Pelodiscus sinensis: one gene and its partners. The protein of the gene in region 1 purifies or fractionates together with the protein of each later gene. This does not show direct contact. Links are inferred from orthologs where the notes say so. Each region holds a gene or a part of one and is shown on either strand. Other genes may lie near its edges.

Region 1 (10,470 bases):
CTTTGAAGAGTGACAATTGACTTCTCACCATGCCCAAAACTGTAATCCAGATAAAAAGAACACAAGTAAAATTAAATAATTCTGCACCTAATGTGAAAGCAACTAAAAATACTCTGCAGCTGGTGACAGAAATGACTCAATGTTTTAATCATAACACATACACAGTACTGTAAAAAGTTGTTCTTAAGAGAGGCATCAAATAAACTGTTGACCTACTTTAGTAAGTATACTTCTGGTATTTTACCAAAAAAGCTAAATAGCATAGTGAAATGTAAAGCAGATGATCTTTTTCTCTAAAAAAAAATTATAGAAGCAGTATTTGTTCAATACAGTACATAGTTAGTTTTTACATCATCTATCTATAATTTACTTTCCTAACAAACAAATACTTTCAATAGTTAAATACAAAGGGGTCTAAAGTGTTCTATATAGACCCTATTCTGACCTCACACTGCATAAGAATCTCTACTAATATCATTGGGAATTGTATGCATTTATGCAATACCTTCATTAGATTTGGCCTCCCAAATGAAATTGATTCTGATCAGGGCCCCACTTCACCGGGGACCTTATGAAACAACTATTCTTTCCTTTGAACACAGAAGAACAATTTCACATAGCTGGACATCCCCAGGCCTCGGGGTTGAAAAATGAAACTGGGTCATCAAAAACATGTTGAAAAGGCAATTGATGTCCCTGGGGGAAAATTGGGATTCTAAGCTTCCCTTAATTTTGATAGTAGTTTGATGTCCAGTGGCTACTCATGAGGATAAACAAACAGTCCAAAACATGATGATGCTATCTTGTTCCAGTGGAATATCCCAGGTGAACCAGAATGGGATCTGGAAACTGACATGTATACACTGCTCAAGATGTCATGGATGTCCTAGTATGCCCAAATATAGGGAAGACTTTGATGGGATGCAGCTATCTGTAAGTGTTCAACAAAGGTATCTGTACTAATAACCATGCACCCAGGAGATAGGAAATATTTTCCTACAGGAAGATACTAGGGTCAGGTAGAGGGTGATGCGAATTGTCAGGAAATAATTACTTTGAAGAAGATTTCAATCTTGAGAAATAAGATTGCTAGATGTCACCAAGGCCATTATTTGGGATGGATTTAGAGGAGGGCTACCTATAGAGTTAAGAAAAATTATATAGGAACAAACTAATGACTTTGAAAAGGCTTATTTTAGTTGGAGGCAAATAGTCAACTTTACCTATTCAAGAGCCAACAAAACCATAGTCACTTATGTTCTAAATTCATGCTATCAAGGAGTATATTTATCCACTGATCCTCATAGGATAATATTTGGTCCTTATTAATGCCCATGGAAGCTAGCAAATAGGTACATATTACATGTTCCCAGTATCTCACAGTCAACATGCAAGCATATATAGAACAAAAGGGACTAGAACATACCCGTATACAACCAACCTCTGGGAGGAGCATCAAGTGCATCTTAATTCCCACGCAGGTAAATGTAATTTAACTGCTTCACCACTCTTCTCTAATAAGTAATTTTGTTCTAGTACAAATGGAAAAGTATTGTTTCTATGTTAAAAGCTGATGTCCTGTATTTTAGTTAACAGATTTTATACAATTGAACACAGTTGTGGTTATAATTTGTGTATGTGTAAAGTATTCTCAATACAAGGATGCAAAGTTAATATTGCCCTTACATGGTATGTCATCCACCACAAAAAACCAGAATATCTTTTGTATATATATATTTTGAACCAATACACATAGGAGGTGATTTGAAATCATTAAAGCAATTAATGCATCATGAAATATTAGCTCACTCTATCAAACAGTTAAGGGCAGATAGTCTCAAAACTATGCTAAGAGTTCATCATTATATGACTGCAATCCAAAGGGTTCTAAACAGGGTGGAGCAAGAAACTCATACAGCATATGATGTGAAAATATTTTCTACATAACTGGGAAAAATGCATATCTAGCATAGAAAATAATTCTGTATCCAGTTGTAATTTCAATAATCAATAATTTCTGAAGTAAATTTGAATACTCCCTTGTGTGCTCTGCATTGTTAATGCAGATTTCTGCCCCTGTAGGGTTGGAAAATAATCAACTTTGGCCCTATTCTAGTTGAATTTGCCATAGCTTTAAGTTAGCTTTGAATGATTTTACATTTGAAAAACAGGAAGTAAGAAACTGGTTAGGCCCTTGCAATTTGACATTGAGCTCTCACAAGTACAGGCAGTCCCCAACTTACGCAGATCCGACTTATGTCGGATCCGCACTTACGAACGGGGCTTTTCTCGCCCCGGAGCTCACGGGCGGCGGGTCGCCACCTGTGTCCTCCGGGGCGAGAAAAGCTTTTCCCGGTCTCCCTGGTCTGCTGGGGGGGGGGTCCAGCAAAGCCGCTGGACCCCCCAGCAGACCAAGGACACCAGAGCAAAGCCGCTGCCTGGGCGGCTTTGCTCGTTTGCCCGGAAGCAAAGCCGCCCAGGCGGCAGCTTTGCTCTGGTGTCCCTGGTCTGCTGGGGGGGTAGCTCCGGACCAACCCAGCAGCACCCCAGCTGCTCTGCCCCAGGCGTCCCCAAGTCAGCCGCTGCTGAAACTGACCAGCGGCTGACTACAGGAAGCCCGAGGCAGAGTTGCTCTGCCCCAGGCTTCCTGGAATCAGCCGCTGATCAGTTTCAGCAGCAGCTGACTTGGGGATGCCTGGGTTTCTTAAGTTGAATCTGTATGTAAGTCAGAACTGGCATCCAGATTCAGCCGCGGTTGAAACTGATCAGTTTCAGCAGCGGCTGACGCCAGTTCCGACTTACATACAGATTCAACTTAAGAACAAACCTACAGTCCCTATCTTGTTCGTAAACCGGGGACTGCCTGTACTAACACAACCATGAATGCCAGATCACATAGCCATTTGGCATCACACAACTCAGCCACAGGTTTTTCCCTTTGTCACCATGAAAAGTTTACTTCTTTCTTCAGTTTGTAAAACCACATCCGCATATTCCATTAGCTCAGCCATTGCACTTATACTTTATTATTGTTATCACCATAATCTGATTCAAGATTTTTCAATAGCTCTTTAAACTGGGGGCTGCTTAGTCCTTTACTTTTGATAAAGTTAATGCTTGATACTGCAATCGACATTACATTGTTTAGTTGCAAGGACTGAACAGATTCTCTTGATGAATGATGTAATGATACACAATCAACTTACTTGGATCATGTCTAAGATGATCTCTTTCTCTCTTGACTAAGGGAACTAATCCCTTCTGAGATCCAACCATAGCTGGAACCACTCAATTTTTCTAATAATGATTGAAACTTGTGTACTGCTGATGTAACCTTCTCAAAAATGTCTTCACCTTTGGTGGTGTTGTGCATTGATAATAAAGAAAGCAAATCCTCTTGAATCTCAAAACTTGGTGTGATTCCATGCAGAAAATAGCCAGCTGGACTGTACTTATGTCTGTTGTCTCATTAATAGCCAGAGAGAAAAACTCAAGATCAGCCACAGAATCTTTCAGAGACTTTTCAATATCCTGAGCCATATCATAAATTCAATCTGACACTGTCCTGTGAGATAAGCTCACATTCCCAAATAATTTAATTTTCTCTGGCGCCAATAAAGCTGCAATTGCACTGATAGTCTTTTACAAACTCTCCTTCTGAATGAGGCCAAAGGCAAAGGTTGGTTTGTTTGTTTGTTTGTTTTTGCTATAACTGACTTGCATAACATTGCCTGTTTCCTTTCTTGTTTTTGTGAAAATTGGTTGCTGAATATTCAAATTCTTTTAAGTGCTTTAATTTTGTCTGCATATAGCTTTCCTTAAAATTTCTTAATATTTGATATGCTTCATTCTGCAACTTCTTTCTATGTTTGATTTTTTTATAGGAAAAACTTTCTAATTATAAGAATAATCAAGTACCTAAGTAGATAATCTGGGAATTTCACAACCTTCCTATAATTAGAGATTTTTAATAACAGGTTTGATAAGCACCTATTAGGGGGTGTCTAGTATACTTACTTCTGCCTCAGCACAGTGGGATGGACTAGACTTCCAGAGGTGCCCATGAGCCCTTGAGTGTCTCTCATTTCTTCATCTTCTGTGAAAATTACACTAAAACAATACCAAATTCCAAGTCACTGACTTCTGCTCCCAACAGGACCTGTAAAGCCCAAAACTGTGCTGTTGCTCAGCAAAACATTACATTTTTAAATGAAATTCTATATTTTCAATAAGTTTTTAAAAATATAATCAACATAGTAAAGTGTTTTGATATAATGCTAATGCAGGATTGTGTGTGTTTTCAGCATTATTGACAGTGGTAGGAGTTTACAACCTCCTTCACAGCCACTTTTTTCTTCCCCACTGACAACTGAATAGAGGCTATTAACTCAGCCTCTTGTACAAACATGTCCAGGTGAAATTAGGCCTGATCCGTGAAATCAGCTTTATTTTTTGGAGCTTGAGAGATAATACACTAAATCAACTGAACTACTCATTGTGTGAAGTTAAGCATATATGTAAGTATTGTAAATGATCAAAGCCTAAAAAAAAAATCAGTGGTTTTCTATGACAATCTGCAGCCAGGGAAAAATAAGTTTTCATCTCCCTTCATCTCTTTCACCAGAGATGTATCTGGGTTTTCTTCATGCTATCCTTTTTGCATGGAGTTCTCTTGTTACTCTGATTGGTCAACTGCTACTCTCCTATGAAAACTCAAATATTTTATATTGCATTATCGGTAATATTCAGTATATTAACTTTAGTTTTGCATTTTTATTTTCAAAATAAAACCAGCAACATGGACACATGCCTAAACTAAGTGGTTGCATCTAGACTAGCATGATTTTCCGCAAAAGCAGCTACTTTTGCAGAAAAACATGCCAGCTGTCTACACTGGCCGCTTTGAATTTGCGCAAGAACACTGACGATCTAATGTAAGATTGTCAGTGTTCTTCCACAAATACAATGACTCTCCCGTTCGGGAAAAAGCCCTCTTTCGCAATTGCTTTTGCGCAAGAGGGCCAGTGTAGACAACTGAGAACTGTTTTGCACAAAAAAGCCCTGATGGTGAAAATGGAGATCAGGGCTTTCTTGCGCAAAACCGCATCTAGATTGGCATGGACGTTTTTCCGAAAAAAGTGCTTTTGCACAAAAGCATCCATGCCAATCTAGACGCTCTTTTCCACAAATGCTTTTAATGGAAAAACTTTTCTGTTAAAAGCATTTGCGGAAAATCATGCCAGTTTAGACGCAGCCAGTGCGTGTTGGATCACACTGCTGAATGCTAGTCCTTCCCATCACCACCTTCCTTCTTTTCTCCTTTACTTATTCTGTCACATAAAATTAACTTAGCTGAAATAAGGATGATGTCACTCTGTCATCCTGCAGGAAAATTCTGCATATATTTCATTACCCAGGCTGAATAAAAATGATCTTTCATTGGGTTTGCCAGTGGTTTTATAAGAATTGAACAGGAACAGGATTGAACTCTGCAAGTCAGATCAAGGTGTGCTGCAATGCACACTGTTACTGCAGGATTCATACTGCATCACCTCAGAAGGAAATATAATAAAATATTGTTAAATAAAGTAAATTAAATTAGTGCGGTCACTGATACTTTGTGTTAGTTCAATCTAATAATATAATTAGTATTTTTCTGCACTGATAATTCTCTATTTATCAGACGTGTGTGAAGCTGACCAAGTCATTACTCTCTGAAATATGCCAAATCCCCCCTTGAGGAGCAATTACCCCCAGGTTACGGCCCACTGGCTGATACCCGAACAGCGGGTGTTAGACTGTAAATGCCACCAGACTCCTGCTTGGTTTGGCTTTGAAACAGACTAACGGGCTCCCCCTGGACCGAACAGCCTGAGCGCCTTCACGTCATCACCCACGTAAGCGCGAGCAGCCAATCAGCGGGCTAGCCCTCTCTACGGCCCGCTGCCCCCGAGGCCGTGGGAGAACAAGGGGGCAAGGCTGCCTCTCTTCCGGCCTTCGTGACCGGGGAAAAGGGGCGGGGCTGTTTTCCTCGGCAGGCTTCTGTCCACCCTCAGCCCCACGCCCGTTTTCCAACCGCCGCAACGGCAGCAAGTCTTCCCCCTGAGCACACCCGAGCCCCACCCAATCCCGGGGACCGTTATTCTTCGCCCAACCTAAATAACAGTCCCACGGTGCTCCGCCCCCCCTCCTTGCCCGCCCCTTCCTACGTTCACAGAACGTACTGGTGTCATGTCATGGCCCCGCCCACCACGCTCTCCCCTCCCCACCCCGCTACGGCGCGTGATAGCTCCCGTCTTCCTGCTTGGGGCTCCGCCTTCTCTCGCCCTGGGGCTGCCTCGCCCGGCCCCGCCCCGAGTGGTGCCCCCGGCTGTCCGGCGGTGTGGCTGGTGTCAGCGCGCGGCGCGGGTCGCTCCGCCCTGCGGACGGGTACGGTGACTTCTCTTCTCGCGCAGGGCTCAGGCGCCGGTCCCGGCCGTCGGGGACCCCGCCCCTTCCCCCACCGACTGTGCCCGGGGCGGGGACCGGGCCCCTTGGTCAGTGCCGCGCGTGGGCTTTGGGAGCCCTCCCTTGCCTCGCTTTGCCGCCTGGGGCCGGCCGGCCCTGCCTGGAGCGCCCTTCGCCCCCGGCCACCAGGTCTCCGTCCTGAGGCTGCCTGCGCCTGGCCAGCCGTGAGTCCCCAGCCTGCAGCGCAGCTCTGCCCCCTGCGCCGCAACGGGCCCCGCTACGCCCACCTGCCCTAGGTCGTCAGTGACGAGTCCCTTCCCCCCGTCGCCCCTGCGCCTCGCAATGGCTGTCCTAGCTGCGAAACCCGCCTGTTCCCCCTGTGCTGACAGCCTCCCCCGCCGCCCTCCTCTTCATGCCAGTGCTGAACTGTTCCGCCTCCCCCCCCATCTTTCCAGCTGTAAGGTGCCAAACCCACTTCTCTCTTCCTTCCCTTCTTCCGGCTGCCAAACCCACCTATCTCCCTCCTCTCCTCAGCGCCTTCCAGCTGTCAAACCAGGGTTACCGATTTTGATTGGATGAATTATTGGGGATTTCATCATATTACAGTTTTTAAATAAAGATTAATCTTTGTTGAAGAGTCTCCAGGAATTAATCTTGGAGGATTGGCAACCCTAACATCTACCCTTCCTGGTTCCAAACCCCTGCCCTGACCCCAGGGTCCTTCCAGATGTCAAACTCACCTACACCCTTCCATTCTCTTTTCAGCTCCCAATCTCACCTGCACCTCCTAGTGCTGAAGTTCTCCCTTCCCAGTCCTTTCAGCCGCCAAACCTACCTATTTTCCTCACCTCCACTCCTTCAAGCTACCAAACTCACTTTCCCCTTCCAATGCCAATCTGTATCCACCTGCCATATTTATATTCACACACAGCAGTGACAAGTCACCCCATCTTTTCCTCAGGGAAAACTAATCCTTGCATACTGTACATAGTCAAACTTAATGTACTTTCTTCCCCTGATGTGATGTGTCACTTTATCAGACATATGTGCATTCCAGGCAGTTAACAAAATTAGATCACCTCTCCATAACAGACTCCATGGAGAACTAACATGACAAAATGCACATTGTGTTTCTAGTGTTCCAGTGCTAGAATTTCATAAATCTTCATACACAACAGCCATGGGCAGTAGTAAAATGGTTATCTTGATTGCTCAGACTTTGATTTTTTTAAAAAAAATATTACATTGATGCCCGGAGTAAGGATGTTAAAGACTAGTTGACCTCCCCCACTTGCTCCCTCTATCAGATGGAGGCAGCAAAGGGGGGCGCTGCACAGCTGAGCCTAACTCAGCTGTAAGGCTCTGCCGCTTTGAAATGCTGAGATGGTGTTCAAAGGGGCAGCACCTCACAGCTGATCCCCAGCTCAGTTGTGAGGCACTGCCCCTTTGAAACACCGGCTCAGCTGTGAAGTGTTGCCCTTTTGAAATGCTGAGACCCAACTAACCCTGGCTTCTGGGGAAATGCTGTGTGGAGACTGGGATCAACTGGGGAGTCCTAGCTGACCCCAGGCTCCGTGCGGCATTTCAAATTGGCAGTGCAACATGGAGCCTGAGGTCAGCATGGGACTCTTGAGTTCCCCACTGACCCCTAGCTCCATGAGTGCGCTTCCGCTTTGAAATGCACAAGAGCCCCCGCTGGGGACTTGTACGTTTCAAACCCTGCATGCAGCCCGGAGTCAGCAGGACTTCCCACTGGCTCTGGATTACATGTGGTGTTCCGCATTCCTTGCTGGGGCTCTCGTACATTTCAAAGGAGGAATGCAGAAGTACCTATCGATTAATGAAGTAGTCAATTGAAATTCCATCGACTACTTGACTGGTAAAATAACTGCAATTTAACATCTTTAACTCAGAGGTGCTATGTAGGCCCATGTTATTCAGGGTGACAAACAGCTAGTGAAGGACATGCTCTGCTTCAAAGAGCTTGTAAGCGAAGATGGGACAAGGGGCAGAACCTAAGAGAGAGAGGGGGGCTTAGGAGGAAGATGAATTTGACAGTAATAGGGATACAAGATAGTAGATAATAGCATTGTGTATAATTGGACAACTCACACCTTTTTAATTGCTGTAAAATTACTGTAGATCAATGGTCTCCAAACTTTTTCACATGTAATCTATTAGAGCCAGTGCTCAGGAACTGGGGCCACAGCTAGAAACTGGGTTGTGATTGAGTCCAGAGTTGTAACTGGGACTGCAGGCAGAGTCAGGGCTGGCAGTGGAGCTGTGTTGGGTGGCTCCCTTCCCATCACCCGTGGGGGCTGGTTTGGCACCTGCCATGCTTCTCCAAACTTTCTTCCACGTTCCCATAGTGAGCACACCTGACAGTTGTGGGACTACTGTTTTATATTTTAAACTATATGCTTTTTGCTAATATAATATTATAAAAACAGATTTATCCAGTGTAGGTAGTTAGATGAGAATTAGGGATGTAAAATCCCAGTTAATAAGTCAACCTGTTAAATAAACTTTAAAAAACTACAAATAGTCTGGTAGCACTTTAAAGACTAACAAAACATGTAGCTGGTATCATGAGCTTTCATGGGCATAGCCCACTTCTTCAGCTCTGACCCCCTCTTAGAGCCAACACCCTATACCCCATTTTGCATTCTGACATCCCCCCCATGCCAGCCTTGACTCCCCTTCCAAAGCCAACATTTCATACCCCCCTCCTGTCCTCCAAAACTGCGCCCCAGTCCGGAGTGCCCTTCTGCTCCGAAAGTCCCTCCCAATGCTTGCATCCATTACCCCCTGCTGAACCCCAACCTCCTGACCCAGCCTGTTGAAACTCAATGAGAGTAGGGAAAAATGGGGGTGAAGGAGGGAGTAGGGCAAAGTCTTGAGGACTTTGAAGGTTTTTTTGCCAAAGTGACACCCACTTCAAAAATAGTGATGAGCACTGGTGGTTGAGGTAAACATCAGGAGACAGGCTTGGGTTCACATTGGCTAGATAATATATTAACATTCAATTTGTTCTATCTATAGTTGAGTGTTAAAACTTATTTAATGCCAGCTGTCACCTTAATGGGACTATTGTAATGTCGCTGGAGTGGACATCTGTATGCAGCATACAGTACAGGTCCCTCCTTTCATCTTAATAGGAGGAGAGGGTCAATGAATTCAGATGTTTGAAAACAGGGATGTGGTGGAAGTTATATGCTCTGAACAATTTGACACTACAAATTAGTAACCCAAACACTTCTGAATAGTTTTTCCTGTGTTACCTTTAGGATTTTAAGTAGTTAAGATTATCATAATATTGACTGTTAAAATAGTTCTTAGAATGTGTGAAACAGCTGTCTTTTTATGACATATCACAGTATATGAAGTTACATAAATGTTTTCTGAGTTTGGTGTATTTAGCGAGAATCTGTTGTATACTGTTTTTAATATCCGTATGTTGTGTTTATGTCTCTCTGGAATCAGTATAACAGTAGGGAATGTTAGTCTTTGGAGGCTTACAAAACTGATCAAACCTTCAGATTGCTGTCCCTTCCTGCTTCTCCACGTGGGAATGAATGATACGGCCAAGAATGACCTTGATTGGGTTACTGTGGATTACGTAGAGTTGGGAAGAAGGATCAAAGAATTCAGAGTGCAAGTGGTGTTCTCATCCATCCTCCCTGTTGAAGGGAAAGGACTGGATAGGGATCGTTGAGGAAGTAAATGCATGGTTGCGCAGGTGGTGTCGCAGAGAGGGCTTTGGTTTCTTTGACCATGGGACTCTGTTCCAGGCATAAGGATTGTTAGGAAGAGATGGGATCCACCTAACAAAGAGAGGAAGGAGCATCTTGCGGGCAGGCTTCCAAACCTAGTGAGGAGGGCTTTAAACTAGGTTTGTTGGGAGACAGTGACCAAAACCCTGAGAGGAGGGGGAAGTCGGATACTGGGAGGTAATGCAAAGAGGAACGAGCAACAAAGGAGGACCCCTGATTCGAATGCAGAGAGTAGGGTGATCAACTGGTT
Region 2 (9,921 bases), on another chromosome or scaffold:
AGAACCAATGAGGTGTTGATAGGGGGCCAGAAGAACCAATGGGATACAGTGCTGAAATCTGAATTGTATATAGATACCTGGTCTGCTCTTTCTTTGTGTGACTTCTAAGTTAAGGGCTAGACATCTAACAGGCAGTAATCAGAATTGCCATGCCTACAAGGAATTCAGGGCATGTAAGTGGACTGAACCAGAAAATGGTCATGAGTAAATAAAGGGAAAATGTGTATTTAGTCACAATTAGGACATTTTTATTGCTTGGGTTCTTTGGTTAAACTTCTCTGTGAGAATCTATTCCTTCCCTCCCCCATTCACTAAGAGCATATCAGAGGTGTTCTCTGTGTTTTAATTTGTTTTACTCATTGCTCTGTAACACCTAGTAACCAAGTATGCTTTACTAAATATATCTTTTTGTTTTGTTAATAAAATCACCTTTTTTAAGGCGATTTGTTGTGTCCTGGAAAGAAAGAGGGTGTCTGTGTGTGTGTCTGCCTATCTTGAGAGGTCAGCTATCAAAGACACAGTTGGTTTTCTTTTGTTTCTTTTTTTCAAGCTCTCTTGTGGCAGAGAAGCATGGGGTACTCGGGAAGGAAGTCCAAGTGCTTTTTTCCTGGGATCAAGAAGAAAGGGATTTGTTTTACTTGGTAGTGGCAGCTACCCCTCAAAATCAGTAAATCTGTGACTCTGGGAAGTTTTTGTAAGCAGAGCCTACAGAGGGAAGTTATTTAATGTCTCTTGCAGGCCGACACCTTCTGCACTTGGAGTGCCAGAATGAGGAACAGCGCTGACAGCTACATTAAGCCATCTTAAACAAGTGAAAAAACACAAGTAATTCACTGTTTGCTCTACTGCCATGTTGTGCTAACATCTAGGAGTTGATTTATTAGTGCCACCTTTAAGGGCCCATCTACACTACATATACAAGTGTTAGGAGCCTTCTGTTGCAACTGAGTTAGATCATAGTTCCATCATTTACTCTTTGAACAAGATCACACTACATGTTCTAACATTGTTCTCTCATGATGCAAGAGATCTGGACCTAATCTGTATGTGCTGTACAGGCAAAACTTTGGATAATGGCCAGTGCTGATAAGTGTTAAAATTATCAAAGTTCCAGCTCTCATCGATTTCCTATTTATACAATTCCACAGCCATTCAAAACTGCTTCACATGTCAACTAAACACAGTCCCTGATTATGACTTTGTATATTGGATCTTTTAGTGATTGGTGTTATAGATAGATTACTGTAAGTGAGCTCTTGCAATAGTGATTAGATACTGAAGGCTGATGTTTAATAAAAAAACAGGAACATAAACAGATATGTAGGTAGGAGAGGTTGAGAGCTGGAAGGCAACCTGAGTGGAATGAGTTATGGGTAGGCACTTGAAGGGAAAAAAAATAAGACTGACTGGTGCACTGGACTAGGCAATATTACACAAAAATAAAGGCTAGCATGAGACAAGCCAAAGATGGAATAATTAGTGGGATATTATTGGATCTGTGAATATCTTTAGTGCAATACTTCCAATGTTAGTCACTGCCACAGAACATTTGCATAAAATTCTGATGTCTGAAATGACAAATTGCTCTGAGAGCAGACAAAATTCAGTGTGCACAGAATGCCAGTCCCTCTCTCTCTCTTATCTCAAATATCAGTGAAGTCCCCATTTAAAACAACTGTCCTTCACATGCTTTGACGGTTGTCTTATTCCTCAGCTCCTCAACAAACTCCTTTGCACTTCCAACATTCCAAATACAAGGAGCATGTGCAATTACACTAGATCACATCTGAATGCATAACCTCTTACCTCTGACTTAGTACTTTTTGTCTCGCAAATAACACATTCTGTTCTTTACGAGAGTGCACGTCTCTTGAAACTCTATCCTAATCTAGCTCTCTCTTGTTGGTGTGCGGCTGTGTGATTTAGATTTCAGTGCTTTTTTAAATGTGTTCCATTCCTATTCAGAATTATGTTCACTTTTTGGTCACCAAGACATTGAGCCAGCCTTGACTTCCCTGATAGAGAAGCAGCTGTCTGTCTCTCTTCATGAGCCTTGAGAATCTCCTACCAGAAATACTATAAAATTAAAATACATAAAATTGAACCTTACTTCCAAAGGAAACTGTATATTTATATCCCAAATGTAATCATGAGCTTATCATGCAAACTTGTCTTAATGTTCCAGTCCAAATGTGGTGCGCACACAAATATTTATGTATAATGTTTACCATTATTACCTTTCCAACCACCAGGTGAGGAAAAGACATATCAGGCTAAGTCCCTTTATGATATGTGTGTCTTATCTGTACATATCAGTGATAGAGAAATAAGACCATCTGAATCTTTTTTTTTTAAATCTTCCAGGGCTGAGAGAGTTATGAAACACCATCTTGTGGTTTTGCTACGTGCAAAACTTCTAACCCTTAAAATGACAAGGTAAAATAACTGGCATTATATATAGTTTAGGCAATTAAATAACCACACCTCTCTGTCTTTCACATTGACACACAGTGAAATCATAGAGAAGATTTGGGAATGTAAGCTAGACTTTTTGATCTTTATTTTCAAATCTGCAAAGTATGCAGGAAATACCTGCATTCCCCAATTTGAGGTGAATAAGGGAGAATTCATAAAATATCTTCTGCAAACTGATTTCAATATTTTTAAGTATGGCAAATATAAGCCCTGATTTCATTTTTTGTCACCCATGGTAAAACACGCTTATTTATTAAAATCCTATCTCTCATTCTTCCATTCCTCTGTTGTGAAAGAAAAATATATTCAGCCAAAGGATTATGGTTTGCTGGGGGGATATGTCAAACTAGAATAGGTAAATCTGAACATAAAAAGATGTTTATTATTTATTTCCAACAACAAAAAATAGGGTGCTTCCAAAACGACCCAAATCCATCACATCTGTCCCATGGAGTTTCAGGTCTAAGGAACATCAATTATATCAGGGAGCTGGCAAGAAGGTGCTTTTCTTTCTTAATCCCACAGCTAGCCATCCATGAAACCGTAAGTGTACCTGCCATGTTTGTGATAACTGGATTGCTGCTAATGGCAACCTCACTGCATGGGGGTGGGGAAAGGCGGCGCGTGTAACGAGATACCTCATTGACTGTGATTTCTAAATTGCTCACATTAACCCTAGCTCCAGACAAGGTACAATAAAGCCCGTACGCAATCCCACACTACTTGGATTCAACGACAGTCCTGGCGCATGAAGGACCGATCACCATCCATTTACCAGCGCTGGCAGGGGCAGTCTACCCCCTGCTTGTCAAGTGTCGTGTTTACTGCAGGGTTATTTATTGCGCCTAACAGCAGATCTTGTCTTGCGAAGGCGTCACGGGCTATCAACAAAGGGAACCGGAGTCCCAAACAGCTCCCATTCCGGACAGCCAGTGGTGAGGTCCCCGCAGGCTGATGGAATGGGGGTGGGGCGCTTCCCTTAGGGGGCCTGCACTAGGGGCCTAACCCTGGCTAGTAAGGGGGGCTCTTACCGTGCAAATTCTCCTCCGGCTGGCTGAGTCCCTCGCCCTGCGACATTGTCTCCGGCTTCTTCGGGGCAGGCGCTGCTATTTTCAGCCTGCGCTTCTCGCGTCCCGACGCGGCTGGCGGGGGCCGCTGCTGCTGCAGCTGCTGACTGCGGCCAAGTACGCAGGGCGGGCGGATCAGTGGCCAGCAGCTGACAGGCTCTGTTATTGTTATTGCTACTGCAGGTTCTGGGGCTTGCTGGGGAGTATGACGTCTCGAGGGAACGGGCCACCCTGATTGGCTGTCATCACATTCCTCCCCTTTTGCTCCTGTAGCGCTTGCGGGTGCACGGGCTGCCCGCGACCTGCTGGGAACAAGCTCAAAGCCTGGATGTCTCCGAGCGGCTACTGCCCTCTGGGGCCTAGTGGCGCCTCTTCTTTCATTGCAACATGGGGCAAGGCTGTTACTAAGCTGTTACGGAGCACCCGGCTTTTGCACATTGGCTTTTAACGCTTCCCCGGCCCCCCACCAGCTGGCCCTGATCAGGAAGCGCCAAAGTCAGAACTCACTCCTGATTGGCTAAAAAGATATCAAGCCATGGCTAGTTTGCATTGGACACTAAGTTGGCCTCATTTCAGATTGGGTGGGAAATGAGGGACAAAATGTTCAGTTCCCACGTTCACTAATGTGCATTGATTTCTACGCCGAGGCTCATGACATCATTTTCCAGCACTGTCAGGATCACGTATTCATTCCTTCACTTGCTGTGCAACTTGTTACTGACCGGTGTGGCTAGAAGTGTTTCCCTACTGTTTACTAATTGTAGTGGCTTTTAGACACCGTCTGTAAGCCTTGTATTACATCCAAAACGTGGATCAGTCTAGCTACCTCGGTTGTGAAAAATATACCAACCTAACCCACGTTTTATACAATGTTAGTCAATAGAAAAATTATTTTGACAGTCCAGCTATTTCCTCTCACGGAGGTTGGTTTACTATAGCAATGGGGGTTGGGGTGGGGAGGGAGGAGGACTCTTGGTTGCTGCAAGAATTATCTTTGCTACAACCAGACATTTCTGACCAGGAGGGCCACAGTCAAATATCAGTTTGTGGTAAATTGCTTTTGAGCCATCTTTGCTAAATACTATTCTACATATAATTTTTAAACTTTCTCTTTCAACATTTTCTTGGTGGTAAAAGGGGTTCGTATAAGTAGATCCAACACTCTGTAAGCACACATTTCAATGTCATAAGAATTTTGCCACTGCATAGCTATGAAAACACTCTTGTGTTGCATGGCAGAATTAGAAACATAGGTACATCACTTCAAGGCTGCTCCATTCATTTTCCTAGTACAATCCTCTGAAATTGTTTTCAGAAAATCCAAGACCAGTTAAAAATAAAAATTATTTTAAAATTAAATGTCTGACTTAAAACTACTGCTTTTAACAAGCTCTTCTATTTTAAAATAGATTTAACTATAAAACCCAATAACATTTTGGAAAAGCTCTATTGAGTTTAGTAGAGATGAAACCTATAGGGTTCTATACACATTATTTCAAAATCCTATAAAGTGTAATACAGGTTGGACCTCAATAGTCTATAGGCCGACAACATCTGTGGCCCAGCATCCCTGTGGGTGCTCCCAGGCTGGAGCACTCATGAGGAAAAGCTGGCCTCACACTCAAACTCTTCATCTGCGCCCTGCCTCTTCTCTTGAGCACCGGCTCCCTAAGTCCCCACTCCCTCAGTGCAGGCCGCTCTGCTGCTGCTGACAGCTGAGGGCCTGCAGCTAGCAGCTGCAGAGGAGTCAGCATTGACTTCCCCTGGTCTGGCAGATTCTTTGATATGGGACCAGTCAGGACTCAACGGTGTAGGTTTTTTACCATCTTATTAACTTCTATAGCAAGGGTGTTCAGAAACCTAAAAAAGATTATCATTTACTCTTAAATTCCATATGATCTTTCATGGGAAAAATAAGAACTGTCTTAACTTATACTTTATCACTTGTATATAGGGCCTTTTGAGCTGATGCAATATAAATGTAATGGTTACGTGCATTTCTTAATGACATAAGGAACAATTCATGCTGTTGACTTGCTCACTTTTTAAAAAAACAGTGACCTATTTTTTGAAACATTTTAATTAGTAAACCATGGGATTATATCCCTTGCTATTCAATAAATGACAGTAACTAATGGCTTTATAAATTTCAGAAGGGTAGCCATGTTAGTTGATAACTAGTTGGTGCTAGTCCTGTAGCACCTTAGGGTATGTCTTCACTGCATTCCTCTTTTCAGAGAGGAATGCAAATACATCCGAGCAAAATGGCAAATAAAGTGTGGATTTGAATTTCCTGCACTTTATTTGCATAATTGCTTCCGGGCGCTTTTTTGAAATACCGTATTTCGAAAGAAAAAAAACGCAGTCTAGACGGGGGCTATTTAAAAAAAATCCTTCTTTCGAAATAATCCTTAAACCTCATTTTTTAAGGCGTAAGAGTTATTTTGAAAGAAGGTTTTTTTCTCTAAATAACTCCATCTAGACTGCGTTTTTTCTTTCAAAATAGGGTATTTTGAAAAAGTGCCTGGAAGCCATTATGCAAATGAAGCACAGGAAATTCAAATCCATGCTTCATTTGCAATTTCACTCAGATGCATGCATTCTCTTGAAAGAGGAATTCAGTGTAGCCATACCATGAGAGACTAGCAATTTAGAAAAAGAGAGAAAGTATCATGAGCTTTCGTGGGCAAAACCCACTTCCTCAGATGAGTGGAGAAAAAAGGGGGTGCTTTGTGCAGGCTACCCTCAGCCCTGTCCCTTCCACCTGAGGCCCTGCCCCTTCTGGGGACACAGAGCCAGTCCTCCCCACACCCCACACCTTGCCCAGGGGCATGCAGAAGCTGTTGACTTCCCTGACCTACAAGACCATGTAGGCTATGAGAATTAGATGATTTGTAGACTGAAAGAATTAATTCTGACCAATCAGATATTAGAATTCTTAATTTGTATTTATACACCCACATTATTATTTCTTCATATATTTCTTAATGCAGTTTAGTGTACCCCTTTAACTGAAGTAGTCAATGTGCTAACTAACCGCTGCCTTTTATCTCCTTTCTTACATCTTTTATCTCTTCTAGACTGGGAGTAAAGTTCCTTTTTATGTGACTCCTGATGTGTCATTCTTGGGGGAATATACACAAGGATGACTAAACCAGTAGCAGATTAGACAAACACCTGGCAGGGATAGTTTAGATGGTGTTTGGTCCTGCCATGAGTGCAGGGGTCTGGACTTGATGACCTTGTGAGGTAAGATGCTTTCAGTTCTATGATTCTATATTGCATTGATACTAGAAATATTTATTGCACTTGCCTCCAGGATTTATAGTGTGGCTGCCCTGGCTATCAAAAGGAACAAGTCTCTGTGCATGATTGCTTACATGGGCTCAAGGTAAGACCTACCTCAGACAAAAGAGGGTCAATTACTATATTTTGCTTGTCACCTATAAGACACCCGTAGAAAGTACAAATTATCAGCAGAAGCCAAAGATAGGAAATGTTGGAGGAAAAGATTAAGAACATAACATAAGAACAGTCATACTGGGTCAGATCACAGGTCCATCTAGCCCAGTATCCTGTCTGCCAACAGTGGCCAACACCAGATGCCCCAGAGGTAATCCTCACATGATCCCTCTCCTGTCACCTATTTAGAGACAAACAGAGGCTAGGGACACCATTCCTACTCATCCTGGCTAATAGCCATTGATGGACCTAACCTCCATGAATCTATCTAGTTCTTTTTTTAACCCTGTTAAAGTCTGTTAAAGTCTGTTAAAGTTCCACAGGTTGACTGTATGCTAAAGGAAGTTTTTCTTCATTCTGTTTTTTTTAAACCTGCTGCCTATTAATTTCATTTGGTGACCCCTCGTTCTTTTATTGTAGGAATAAGTAAATAACTTTTCCTTATTCACCTTTTCCACGCCAGTCATGATTTTATAAACCTCTATCATATCCCCCCTTAGTCTCCTCCTTTCTAAACTGACAAGTCCCAGACTTTTTAATCTCTCTTCATATGGGACCCATTCCAAACCCCTTATCATTTTTGTTGCCCTTTTCTGAACCTTTTCCTCATAATAACGATATGGTGATTTTAAAATGTTGCAAGATGGTGAAAGAATGAAAGAGCAAATACGTGTACTGTAATGATAATGCTAGGTTCTGAAATTATGTATTGCTCAAAAAGTCATTTTTAGAGCTAGGCCACAAATGTATTATAATGATTACTTTGGTGACTTTAATTTCTGTCATGATGTTCAAGTGGGAAAAAAGGTAATATTCTCAGGATGCTATAGACCATGAAAATAGACCGTATCTGTATCTATTATAGCTGAATTAGAGTTAGTAGATGTGCAGAGAGCACCACCTAATCTAAAACACTGTGTTTTCTCTACCATGGATAAGCCTCCACCCAATTTAGACATGCCTGTTAGATACCCTACAGTAAACTTCATAAAACAGACTCTGAAAAATAACCCAGACTCTTGTCTGATAGCAATAGCGGTGTTAGTCAGTTTACATATATTCCCAAAGTGCATGCCACTATCCCCTATGGAGAGCTGTTTACTGGCTATCAGCTCCCATATTTATGTTTTCAAAGAAGCCATTTGCACAGGACACGTGACTCAAGGTGTGTGATGAAGCCTTGAAGGCTTTCGTAAGAGGCTTTTTAACTGCTTACTCAAACAATTAAAAAGGGGAAGGGGGAAAGAAAAACCCTTGACAAATTTAGGAGAGCCAGATGCTGAACTGCTTCACTGTTATTCCTAGGAAACTGAAAAAGCAATCTTCATGACAAGAGAATTGGATTGACTTTGTAAATGTTAAGAGCCAAATCAGACCTCTTCTGTTTCTAAGGGATAATAGACATGGGGACAAAGCAAGCTTCCAATTAATATGAATCATAAATAATAAGCTTCCATTAGTGTGACTCATTTTAGCAAGTCTCATTAGATTGTCAGCTCTGAGGCAAGGATTAGATCCTTCCGTGTGTTTCTGCATGTCCTAGTATAATGAGACACCAATCCAAATTTAGGTTAGGACCTGTGATCATTCATGCAATATAAATAATTATTCATAACCATAAACTGCTCTTCCATTAAATTAATAGATCTCAGGCACGTGAAATCTTTTAATAGATTTTAGGCTTTGGATCAGGCCCTAATACCTCACATAGGCTCACTAATGGGAAAAGGGAAGTCAAACAATCTGTGATCTAACTGATGTCTTTGCTTTGGAAAAAAGCACTGGGTCCTAATAAACTGCCCATTGCTCCCCCTTGGATCATTTGGTTGCATTTTTTAAAATACAAGGGGATGTATAGGGAATGTTTTGATAGAAGCAGACCACTAAACTTCATGAACAAAGCTCTGTTCTCAGTAATATTTAAGCCAAATCAAGATCCACTACAGTATTCATTTTATTGACCGGCATCTTTTTCAAACCATTATCCAAAAGAACAGAGTACCCATATTTAGGATAAAATACAGAGATTAATCAGTCTCAGTGAAGTCATCTTCAGTGTCTTTGAATCTGAGAAGTTGGTGACCTATATATAGTGCCTTCAGTGGAAATCATCTTTGACTAGATTGAGTGTGAGCTTCCAAAACAGAAACAGATGAGTTTTAGTAACAGTTTTAGATAATGTATTTCCACATTTAATAGTGGAATTTCAACCTGATTAATATAAATTCATGATGACTGGTAGAGTCATCTTGTTTTCTAACGGGGTTGAAGAAGGCACCAATGTAACCAGGGCTCAACAATTAGGGCAATCTACTCGCCGGTGGCGAGTAGATTTTAGCCCGGCACAGTGCCGCAGCGTGATCAGCGCATGCGCAGCACGGTCTGCACATGCGCAGCGTGCCAAACTGCGTGGCTGGCAAGCGGGGCTCGCCGCCACTTGTCAAGCCCTGACTATAACTATCTTTTTTTCTGAAAAATGTTTCACCTTGACTAGGTGGTAGCAATAATGGAAGCATTGGTGTAGAGAAGGCACCAAGACCTGCTCACATTTTACAAGCCTATTGTGTGAAATTGCAGTGTGCAGGTTTAAATCAAAGGGTACATCTACACAGCAGTGTTATTCTGAAATAACATAGTCCGCTTCTACACTGCAAGCAGTTATTTTGACACAATGTCAAAATAATATCAAGCTGGAGGATTTCTTACTCAGATTTCTGTAACCCTCATTTTTGAGGAGTAAAGGAAGTCGGAAGAAGAGTGCTCTTTCTCGGACTTCCTGCTGTGTAGACTGCGCCAAAAGCCAAAATAAGCTATTTTGACTTAAGCTATGCAGTTGACGTAGCTCAAGTTGCGTAACTTATTTTGGCTTCAACCCTGATGTGTAGATATCCCCAAGCAGTGATCACAACACCGAAAA
Region 3 (10,425 bases), on another chromosome or scaffold:
TACAACTTATACAGGCAGTCCCCGAGTTGCGAACGGTCGACTTACGACTGTTCACAGTTACGACCAAAAATATCGTAAATGGCGGACCCCGAATTACGAACGTGATCCGTGCTTCCGAACAGTGCGGTCACGTGTAACTCAATGGGGTCCGACTTACGAACAAACCGAGTTACCACCAATTGCTTGGTCTGTAACCGGTTCGTAAGTCGGAGACAGTCTGTACTAAATTGAGGAATTTGGTATTTTAGATTAAAGTTGTGTTAAAGGCATATTAGAACAAACAAGATAAAACATGATTAAATACTCCTCCCATCAAAAGAAAGGTCTAAGAGAGAGTTTACATGACAAGTTGCACGTTGCTAATTCTCCATCTGACCACTCATCTCTGATGAGTCAAGACATGTTTAATGAGTGTCAAGGAATTGTGATATTAAGCTTAAATGTTGTCTCACACACACTTCCCATACAAGACTCACGAATAGCCACAAATTGCTGTTTGAAAAGGTGCCTCACGATCCTCTCAAAGACCCTGTGTTATAAACTCTTCCTCTGGCTCACATGGGCTGGATACAGAATCTTCTGAAATCCATTAATACAACTTCAAAGTGATGGACAAAAGTAATTGCTGGAAATCAGGACTACTCCCTTTTCCTCTGCTTAAAGATCCAAATACGCTGGCTGGCTGTTCTACTGGACCTAGGAGCACCAGCAGCAACATTATATTAGAAAAAATTTGATACTAGATTAACCAAATCAAAATTTTGCTTCTCAGCCCCAAACTAACCTCCCCATATGGTAATATTACTCCCCCATGGGAGAATATTTCATTTAGTCACATTTGTAGCTTGAAGCACCACACCAAGGATGGGTACTTTATTTCTCCTGAAATTTTAACCAATGACCAAAAAGTATGCATTTTGTTAAAAATTGTGTATTTGACATTTCTCTCAAAGAAACTTCAGCACTTTTATTTCAAAAAGCAATGTCATGCACCTTTAAAAATAGTAACTTAGTCAAGCAATTAATACATAGAGTGAGAACTCCGCGGGCTGCTCTTGCAGGAACCCTGCATGATGCCTCACCATCTTCAATGGGAATGTACCCCTGTGCAGTTTACTTGGAAATTAGGACCTAGATGTTTTACATTGAACCCTCTCTTGTTGCTCCTATCTTAGAGACTGAAATCTCCCACACTGTCTTACCACCAATCAGAAAAAGGAAAAAATAAAGTATGGAAAAATATTTGCAAGTCACAGATTAACTAGTTTGAAGTTGGAGAAATAGACATTAGATTTACTTGTACATGCTAAATTTAAGATGAAGTTTTCAAAAAAGTGAAATGAAATTCCATCAATATACATTTCTATATTGTGACATGTTGACTGCACTAAAATCTGGCCAATGTCTTTGCTTTATTTATTTTTGTGAACAGTAATTCAAGGCCAACAAGTCAGAGAAACATACTGCTGTAATTAACATGAGATTCAATGTCACCAGACACAAAATGCAATGGCAATGTCATTATACAGCATAATCTACCCTGATCTAATACATTTCCCACTGAGTTACCACAGATCAATTAGCTGATCCTATTGATATATTTTATGGATAATTTAACAAACTAACACGGAGAGAATGGTTAATTAAAACATTTTGTTTTACCATAGCATCCTTGACATTTAAAAGCAAACCAAAATATACATTAAATGGCTGTGCCTTTGAGATGCAGAACACAATTAAACCAATATGAGATCCTAGATAAAACCACGAATCTTCCACATAAGTATTATCCTAGGAACAAAAGGATGCCGCAAAGCAGCTGACATACATGTGGTATACAGAAGAAAATAGCTCACGTCAGTGATATGGATGGAATAAAATCATTCCCACAGTAAAGCTCCTCCCCACTTCCTTGCTCTTAGAACCAGCCACTAAATAAATTCATTCCCATTACAAAACAAACCTGCTGTATCTCCCCATTACATACCAAATCACTGAATAAACTCACTAAGATCAGAGATTCCTTTACCACCTCCTACATCCACCTTTCCCCACACCTCCTCATCTCATAGTTGTTATTAACCCTGATACTAAAATTCCAATGCCTCTCCTGCATTTGACTCACCCACTATACTTGCATCCTACCCACAACAACATACTGAGTTAAATGTGATTTCCCAGATATCACCTCAACTCAGCCATGCAATTAGCCTAGCCTCAAAACAAGATAACCTCCTGAGCTACACCAGACTAACACGGCTACATTTCTATCACTCCTGCCTATGGTCCCTTTAGCTGCCTCCCATTATGACTGCAGCCAATTCCATCTCCCTTTAACTCCTGAACACTCTCTCCTTCAGTCATCTTCCCGAAGACCCCCAGTCCTTATCTTCACCCCAGAGTACACAATACACTTCCCCTCCTCTGTCCAATATGAAAACCCAGACACACACACACAGCATTCAAAGATCCCCCAACACCATAAGACCTTTCCACCCTTCACACCTTATTCCTCCTCCACAGTCCAGTGTACCCTCCAACCCCTGAGCCCTTACATATTTTCTATTACTCCTCCACACCCTAATGTACACCCAACTCTAGACCACCCCATAGACACTATCCCTCCTCCACACCCCAGCACACACCCCCACAGAGACCCTCCACATTCATCCTTCACACCCAGGTGTTCTTCCCCCACAGCCTAGAGCCCCCCCAGATACCCTGAATCTCCTCCACACCCCAGTGTACCCCGCACCTTCGAGCCCCCCAGATACCCTGAATCTCCTCCTCACCCCAGTGTACCCCGCACCTTCGAGCCCCCCAGATACCCTGAATCTCCTCCTCACCCCAGTGTCCCCCGCACCTTCGAGCCCCCCAGATACCCTGAATCTCCTCCACACCCCAGTGTACCCCGCACCTTCGAGCCCCCCAGATACCCTGAATCTCCTCCTCACCCCAGTGTACCCCGCACCTTCGAGCCCCCCAGATACCCTGAATCTCCTCCTCACCCCAGTGTACCCCGCACCTTCGAGCCCCCCAGATACCCTGAATCTCCTCCTCACCCCAGTGTACCCCGCACCTTCGAGCCCCCCAGATACCCTGAATCTCCTCCTCACCCCAGTGTACCCCGCACCTTCGAGCCCCCCAGATACCCTGAATCTCCTCCTCACCCCAGTGTACCCCGCACCTTCGAGCCCCCCAGATACCCTGAATCTCCTCCACACCCCAGTGTACCCCGCACCTTCGAACCCCCAGATACCCTGAATCTCCTCCACACCCCAGTGTACCCCGCACCTTCGAACCCCCAGATACCCTGAATCTCCTCCTCACCCCAGTGTACCCCGCACCTTCGAACCCCCAGATACCCTGAATCTCCTCCACACCCCAGTGTACCCCGCACCTTCGAGCCCCCCAGATACCCTGAATCTCCTCCACACCCCAGTGTACCCCGCACCTTCGAGCCCCCCAGATACCCTGAATCTCCTCCTCACCCCAGTGTACCCCGCACCTTCGAGCCCCCAGATACCCTGAATCTCCTCCACACCCCAGTGTACCCCACACCTTCGAGCCCCCAGATACCCTGAATCTCCTCCACACCCCAGTGTACCCCACACCTTCGAGCCCCCAGATACCCTGAATCTCCTCCTCACCCCAGTGTACCCCGCACCTTCAAACCCCCAGATACCCTGAATCTCCTCCTCACCCCAGTGTACCCCGCACCTTCGAGCCCCCAGATACCCTGAATCTCCTCCTCACCCCAGTGTACCCCGCACCTTCGAGCCCCCAGATACCCTGAATCTCCTCCTCACCCCAGTGTACCCCGCACCTTCGAGCCCCCCAGATACCCTGAATCTCCTCCTCACCCCAGTGTACCCCACCCTCGAGCCTCCCTCCTGTTCCTCCTCCGCACCCCAATACCCCCCACACCCCATTGCCCCTCAGGCTGCCAGCGTAGCCATAGGAACCCCAACCCCACAGAGCTCCCCCCCCCCATCCGGACGCAGCCGAACCAACTCTCCCCAGCAACCCCACTGGCCCGGAGGCGCTCGCGCGACGCCGCTCTCCGCCAATCCCAGCCGCGAAGAGGGGCGGGGGGGGTCGCGCGGCCCGGGGGCCCTCCTCATTTCCATGCCATTTGCCTATGCTAATAGGCGCGCACTCACTGTTGAGGCCCGGCTCGGCGGGCGCCCCGTCGGCCGGGGGGTTGTTGTTGTTGTGGTGCTGCGGCGGCTCCGGGGGGCAGGACATGGCGGCGCGACGCGGTGGCAACTGAGGAACCTGCGGGGCTGGGACGACAACAACCAGCCGGAGCCCACCTCCTCCTCCCCCCCCCCGCCTCCCGCCGGCTGCGCACGCGCAGCCCGGAGGCACCGCCCCCCTCCGACTTCAGAGGCGGGCGGCGGCTCGCGTCGCCGGACTGCGCAGACGCCGCCCCGCCGGCAGCACGCCATCTGCAGTAAGTGCGCATGCCCTTCCTCGCAGCGCCGCTTGGCCATCGCTGCGCATGCGCCCCCCGCCAACGGCCTCTTTCTTACGCATGTCCCACTGTCAACATTTTCCCCGCCCCGCTCATTTCTCAATACGCATGCGCCTTCTGGGGACCCGCTGTTGACGCTCGTGCGCATGCGCTAGGTTGGCTTGTAGCAGCCCAGATGGAGTCAAGATTCCCATAGAGCTGGGAGGGAACCTCATCCCCTTCCCCCCCCCAACCACACAGCCCAGGGGCCCCCTGCCTCCAAGTCTCTCCTGCCTGTAGCCACCACACTAGCCCTCCTCCCGGGCTCTGAACAGACCCCCTGCTCTGGGCTGGTCTGTAATTTTTTTGTCCCCATCCCAATTTCCCAAGATACGGGGTTCAGAAAAGGGCAACAAAAATGATGAGGGGGTTGGAACGGGTCCCCCATGAAGAGAAATGAAAGAGGGATTTTTCAGTTTAGAAAAGAGGAGACTAAGGGGGGAGTTGATAGAGGTCTATACAATCATGACTGGCGTGGGAAAAGTTATTTACTTATTCCCACAATATAAGAACTGGGGGGGTGGGTGGTCACTAAATGAAAATAATAAGCAGCAGGTTTAAAATCAACAAAAGGACATTTTTCTGCACGCAGGCAACCTCTAGGACTCCTTGCCAAAGGTAGCAGAGGGATAGCCCTGTTCGTCTGAATCTGCAAAAGCGGTGAGGAGCCCTGGGGCACTTTATAGACTAACTGAAGTGTTGGAGTATAAGTTTTCGTGGGCAAAGACCCACTTCGTCAGGTATATGTACATCTGATGAGTAAGGGTAAATTTATACTCCAACACTTCAGTTAGTCTATAAGGTGCCCCAGGACTCCTCACCGCTCTTGCCAAAGGATGCAGTGAAGGCTAGGATTATAATAGGGTTCAAAAAAGAACTAGATAGGTTAATGGAGGTTAGGTCCATCAATGGCTATCAACCAGGATCGGTAGGATGGTACCCCTAGGCTCTGTTTTTCTGGAAGTGACAGAGGAGGGACCACGTGAGGATTACCTGTTGTGATCCCTCCCTCTGGGGCATCTTGTATTGGCCACTTTGGCAGACAGAATACAGTAAACTTCCGATAATCCAGCACCTTTAGGACCCAGGGGGTGCTGGATTATCAAATATGCTAGAGTACCAACAGGGGGGCTATGAGGGATGGGGTCAACGGGGAACTGCGAGGCATAGGAGAGGGCAGCGCTATGGGACCAACCCAGCAGCACCCCAGCTGCTCTGCCCCTAGCTTCCCCAAGTTAGCCGCTGCTGAAACTGACCAGTGGCTGATTTGGGGAAGCCAGGGGCAGAGCAGCTCCAATTGTACGGCTGGCGGAGCACTTCCGGGTTCCAGTTAGTGCCAGACTATCAGAAGCGCTGGACCGCCAGATGTTGGACAATTGGAGTTTTACTGTACTGGGCTAGATGGACCTTGCGTCTGACCGAGTCTGGCCGTTCTTATGTTCAGTGCCCAGACTCTAGAGAAAATAATACAAATAGCAAGTTAATGAAAAGCTTTCAGAGCTGTTCAAAAAGGTCTGGCTACTCTGCTAATGAGCTGGGTAGCATTACATTTCTCCTGAGTGGAAGGACATGCACAGATTAGAGGGCACACTGCCTCAGATCTAACTCCAGCCACTTTCAGAACTAGGGCTGCAACAGTTCCTTAATCCAAGTGCAAAGGGTTAAAGCAGACCTGCATAATCTGTCATGGTGCAGCTCTCCAGGGATGCTCACTTTCCCTTCCCATGAGTAACCTGCTGCCCTTACGAGCATAGAACAGTTTAGGCCCAGTTGTTGAGCATGTTTATTGGAAATCAGGGTTTAAAGGACTGCTACTTTTAAAAGGACTTAGTCTGTAACCGTTGGTTTTTTAACACGCCTACCCCTCTGATGCTTTTAAAAGGACTGTTTAGATGATTCAAAACACACAGACATAAAACGAACATGAACGTCATGAGAAATGGAAAGTAAAAGTGATAACAAAACAGGCGCATATCACCATAATCCACTCTGCCTTTGTGTCTCCGTAAACACACTCAAACCCTTTATTAACCAGGACTTAAAAGAGCAAATAGAACCAGGGAAATTCTCCTTCCAGCCTTTGCCACAGACTTAACTGAAATTAAAAGAGAGACAATAATTCTAATGTTCCACAGGAACCTTTCATTGTGTTAAAAATAGACAGTAATGCTAAATGATCAGAGGGGATAAAACGCCAAACATGTTGTGATTCCTACCTGGGAAATCACAATGCTATGGCATACACCTTTGGCAGACAGCAGAGGGATCTTTTATCTTCCGAGTAGCTTCTGCGCCAATAGCGTATTTTAAATTGATTTCTTGATGTCATTTACAAAGTTGATGGTCTTCCATTTGCCCCAATCCTAGTTACTTTAAGTCCTTACAGGAAGGACTAATGCAGACTGGAGGCTTGGCACTCACTTGGTTTACCCCCAAAAGAGCTGAGTTGACCCAATTATGAATACGTGCTACCAAGGAATCTTAAGCAGTTGGAGACAGTATTGCCAACCCCAAATGCTCAAAAATCATGAATCAGATCATAAGAACGGCCATACTGGGTCAGACCAAAAGTCCATAGAGCCCAGTATCCTGTCTTCCAACAGTAGCCAATGAAGGTCCCCATCATCCCTGCCCATCCTGGTTAACAGCCATAGATGAACCTATCCTCCATCAATTTATCTACAGTAAAATTCCAATAGTCCGGCACTCCTGATAGTCCGGCATCAAAATGGCAAGAGCCTAGTGAGTGAGCTTCGGCAAAAAATGAGTCACAAGGTAACAGCGGCAGCAGCTGAATTGAGCAAAAAGGGTAAAAAAGGCTTAAAAAACTAAAACGTTACAGTATACTGCATGTACAATAAAAAGGGTTAAGAACACTATTTACAGTATATAATGTATACAGTGTGTGTGTGTGTGTGTGTGTGTGTGTGTGTGTGTATATATATATATATATATATATATAAAAAACCATCTTATAGTACCTCCTGATAGTCTGGCATATCTGATAATCCGGCACCACCTAGGTCCCATAGATTATCGGAAGTTTACTGTAGTTCTTTTTTTAACCCTGCTAGTCTTGGCCTTCACAACATCCTCTGTTGAGTGCCCTAGGTCAACTGTGGGCTGTGTGTAGTACTTCCTTTTGTTTTAAATTTGCTATCTATTAATTTCATTTGATGACCTCTAATTCTTGTGTAATGGGAAGACGTACATAACTCTTCTTTATTCACTTTTTCCACACCTAAGATCATGCAATGCCCCTAGTCTGTGTAATCACCATGGTTTGTAAATTGAAAGTGCACCTCTGTATTATCAGAGACAATAGCCAATCCTGAAACACTTGAGTAGCTCTTATCAGAAGAAAACCAAAGCATAACCATTTCCTAGAGAAACCAGTTCCCTCTACTAGCTCTCTACAGGGGGCAGATATTGTGATAATGCAAAATTCCCAAACACAGAGGCAGGAGGACTCTGAGACCAGACACCCAAGATGATGGGCAGGAAAGTAAAAGGGAATGGAATGGCCAGAGACAAAAGCTTTGTGTTTTAACACAGATGGCATGTAACTTACAAATACTAGATGAACCTAGGTGACCCTGACCACACTCAAAATATACTCTGCAGTAGTAAGGAAACGGAGGCAGAGATACGCATGTCACCAATGTCCAGCCTTTCCTCGTCCATTCTTTCATGCAAGTCAATGCTGGACTATTCCATTTTATTACAAGCATATTCTTTCCAGTTTGGGCCAGAATTTTGTTATGGGAAAAGACCAGCACATTTCCATGTAGTTTATTGTTATAGCTCTTTGTATTTTTCCAGCTACTGAAAAGCAGTAGTCTGTTAGTAGCCTGTGTTATATGCTACACCTATCATATGACCCCTCAAAGAAGTGAGCAAGAAGTCTCATGCTGTTAGTGGGATGGGTGTGTTTTAGACATTGAGGGAGCTCCCCAAGTCAGCACAGATTCCAGAATGTGGGCACTGACTCTGTGGTTTAAGCTCTTAGGAAGGGGCTGCACTTTCAGCGAGCATAGAGAACCTATGACTGAGGAAGTGCCTGTATCCCATTCAGACCCTTAAAACACACTGAAGGATTCACCAGCAGGGTGCATTGCTTGCAGTCTGGCGAGCTGCCCCAATAGGCACGTGGGAGGCCAAACTTGGTATAAGGAATTCAGCCAGAGTTCCTGTTGCCATCATGATGTGAGCATGCCAGATCTAATGACTTGCCTTCCCCTCTTTTCCACTAACGGGCTTGTAACAAACTGTAGGGCTACAGGAAATGGCTCCCTCTTTGTAGTATTTGTAATTGGCAAAGAGGGACCTGTCCAGGGCACACTGGCTACCTACCATTATTCTAAACGCATAACAAAGAGATGGTTTCTCCCCCACAGTGGTTGGTCTCACTTTCCCTTGTGGGTCAGGTAGTGCTAAAATATACTGAAGATATTCCTTGAAATTTGCATGCAGTTCGATGTAACAGGTCAAATGGATTTTAATGACAATGGGCAGCCGACAGCTAAAAAAAGCAGCTTAGGGGACCAGATGTCTTGATTTTCTATCAACTGTCCTGACTTTCAGGGGGGTTTCTTATATAGCTGCCTACTACCCGCTATCCCAGTCCTGGTCACCCTAAAGCAGCCAGGGGTGCAGCGCACTAAAATTCCACAGCCTCTGTTGAGCTTGCAAACTAGACCTCTGTGCAGGGCTATTTTTTAAATCCTGCTCTTCCCACTCCCATGATTGGTTCTTGCATTTCCTTTTATTTCACTCCCAGCTGCAAAAAGCCATAGCTCCAACAAGAGAGATTCGTCCATGCCACTAAAAAAGCCAGTGAATGTATGTGTACGCACCTATGTGCCCATGTGTGTGTAGTTTATGTAAATGGGTAAACAGAACTTAAGTTTTTACCACTGAAACAAATCATACTTAAATCCTGTAAAATATTTTAACTCACTGTAAGACACAAGGGGGGATATGATAGAGGTCTATACAATCATGACTGGTGTGGAAAAAGTGAATAATGAAAAGTTATTTACTTCTTCCCACAATATAAGAACTGGGGAGGGGGGGTCACCCAATGAAATTAATAGGCAGCAGGTTTAAAACAAATAAAAGGAAGTTTTTCTTCACTTAGCACATAGTCAACCTGTGGAACTTCTTGCCAGAGAATGCAGTGAAGGCTAGAACTTGAACAGGGTTCAAAAAAAGAGCTAGATTTATGGAGGTTAGGTCCACCAATGGCTATTAGCTAGGATGGGTAGGAATGGTGTCCCTAGCCTCTGTTTCTCTGGAGGTGGATGACAGGGGTGGGATCACATGAGGATTACCTGTTGTGTTCCCTCCCTCGGGGGCATCTGCTATTGGCCACTGTCAGCAGACAGGATACAGGGCAGAATGGACCTTTTGTCTGACCAAGGATGGCCATTACGTTCTTAAGAATCAAATCTATTTCTTGATAAAGATGTAAGTATTAAAACCTTTATTTTAAAAAAAAGAAAATCTTGCTTTACATTGCTGAAATGCTGTTTATGGCAAACTGATGGGATTTAGCCTTTTCCAGCCAATTGTCTGTCTGTTGATTGGCCCACCCAATCCTGCCCACAAAAACTTTTACCTGCTCCTGCTATAACAGCAATGGGTCCTGAGTTCAGTTGCAGGGCTCTGTTGCGAAGTACCGATCCACTAGGATGGGAAACCTAATTATTGAATCCCTCTGCACTCTTGCTTGCTCTCGCTCCTAGGAAACATTAATTAGCCTCCTGGCAGAGGATACCAAATAAAACAAGCAAGCATTGCATCAGAAAAATTCTCTGCAAGCACTTTCCTCCCCATTTTAAAGGAGCCGTGAATTGTTTTTGAAAGCATGAAGGACTTTTCAAACTCAAGTGGGAGAGCAGACTGTG

What was found.
Region 2: the proteins of FBXL4 (region 1) and BNIP3 purify together in Homo sapiens (affinity purification with western blotting; 4 studies listed by BioGRID, with this or other methods). This does not show direct contact. The link is inferred for Pelodiscus sinensis from reciprocal best matches to the Homo sapiens genes FBXL4 and BNIP3.
Region 3: the proteins of FBXL4 (region 1) and BNIP3L purify together in Homo sapiens (affinity purification with western blotting; 4 studies listed by BioGRID, with this or other methods). This does not show direct contact. The link is inferred for Pelodiscus sinensis from reciprocal best matches to the Homo sapiens genes FBXL4 and BNIP3L.

The regions. Positions count from the first base shown.
Region 1 is NC_134713.1:70,077,711-70,088,180, reverse strand, and holds the start of FBXL4 (F-box/LRR-repeat protein 4), read left to right. Parts: upstream 1-6,275; 5' UTR 6,276-6,429; intron 6,430-10,470. UniProt on the Homo sapiens protein: Substrate-recognition component of the mitochondria-localized SCF-FBXL4 ubiquitin E3 ligase complex that plays a role in the restriction of mitophagy by controlling the degradation of BNIP3 and NIX mitophagy receptors.
Region 2 is NC_134718.1:47,394,181-47,404,101, reverse strand, and holds the start of BNIP3 (BCL2/adenovirus E1B 19 kDa protein-interacting protein 3), read right to left. Parts: upstream 3,870-9,921; 5' UTR 3,553-3,869; coding exon 3,507-3,552; intron 1-3,506. UniProt on the Homo sapiens protein: Apoptosis-inducing protein that can overcome BCL2 suppression. May play a role in repartitioning calcium between the two major intracellular calcium stores in association with BCL2.
Region 3 is NC_134738.1:8,839,368-8,849,792, forward strand, and holds the start of BNIP3L (BCL2/adenovirus E1B 19 kDa protein-interacting protein 3-like), read right to left. Parts: upstream 4,367-10,425; 5' UTR 4,249-4,366; coding exon 4,164-4,248; intron 1-4,163.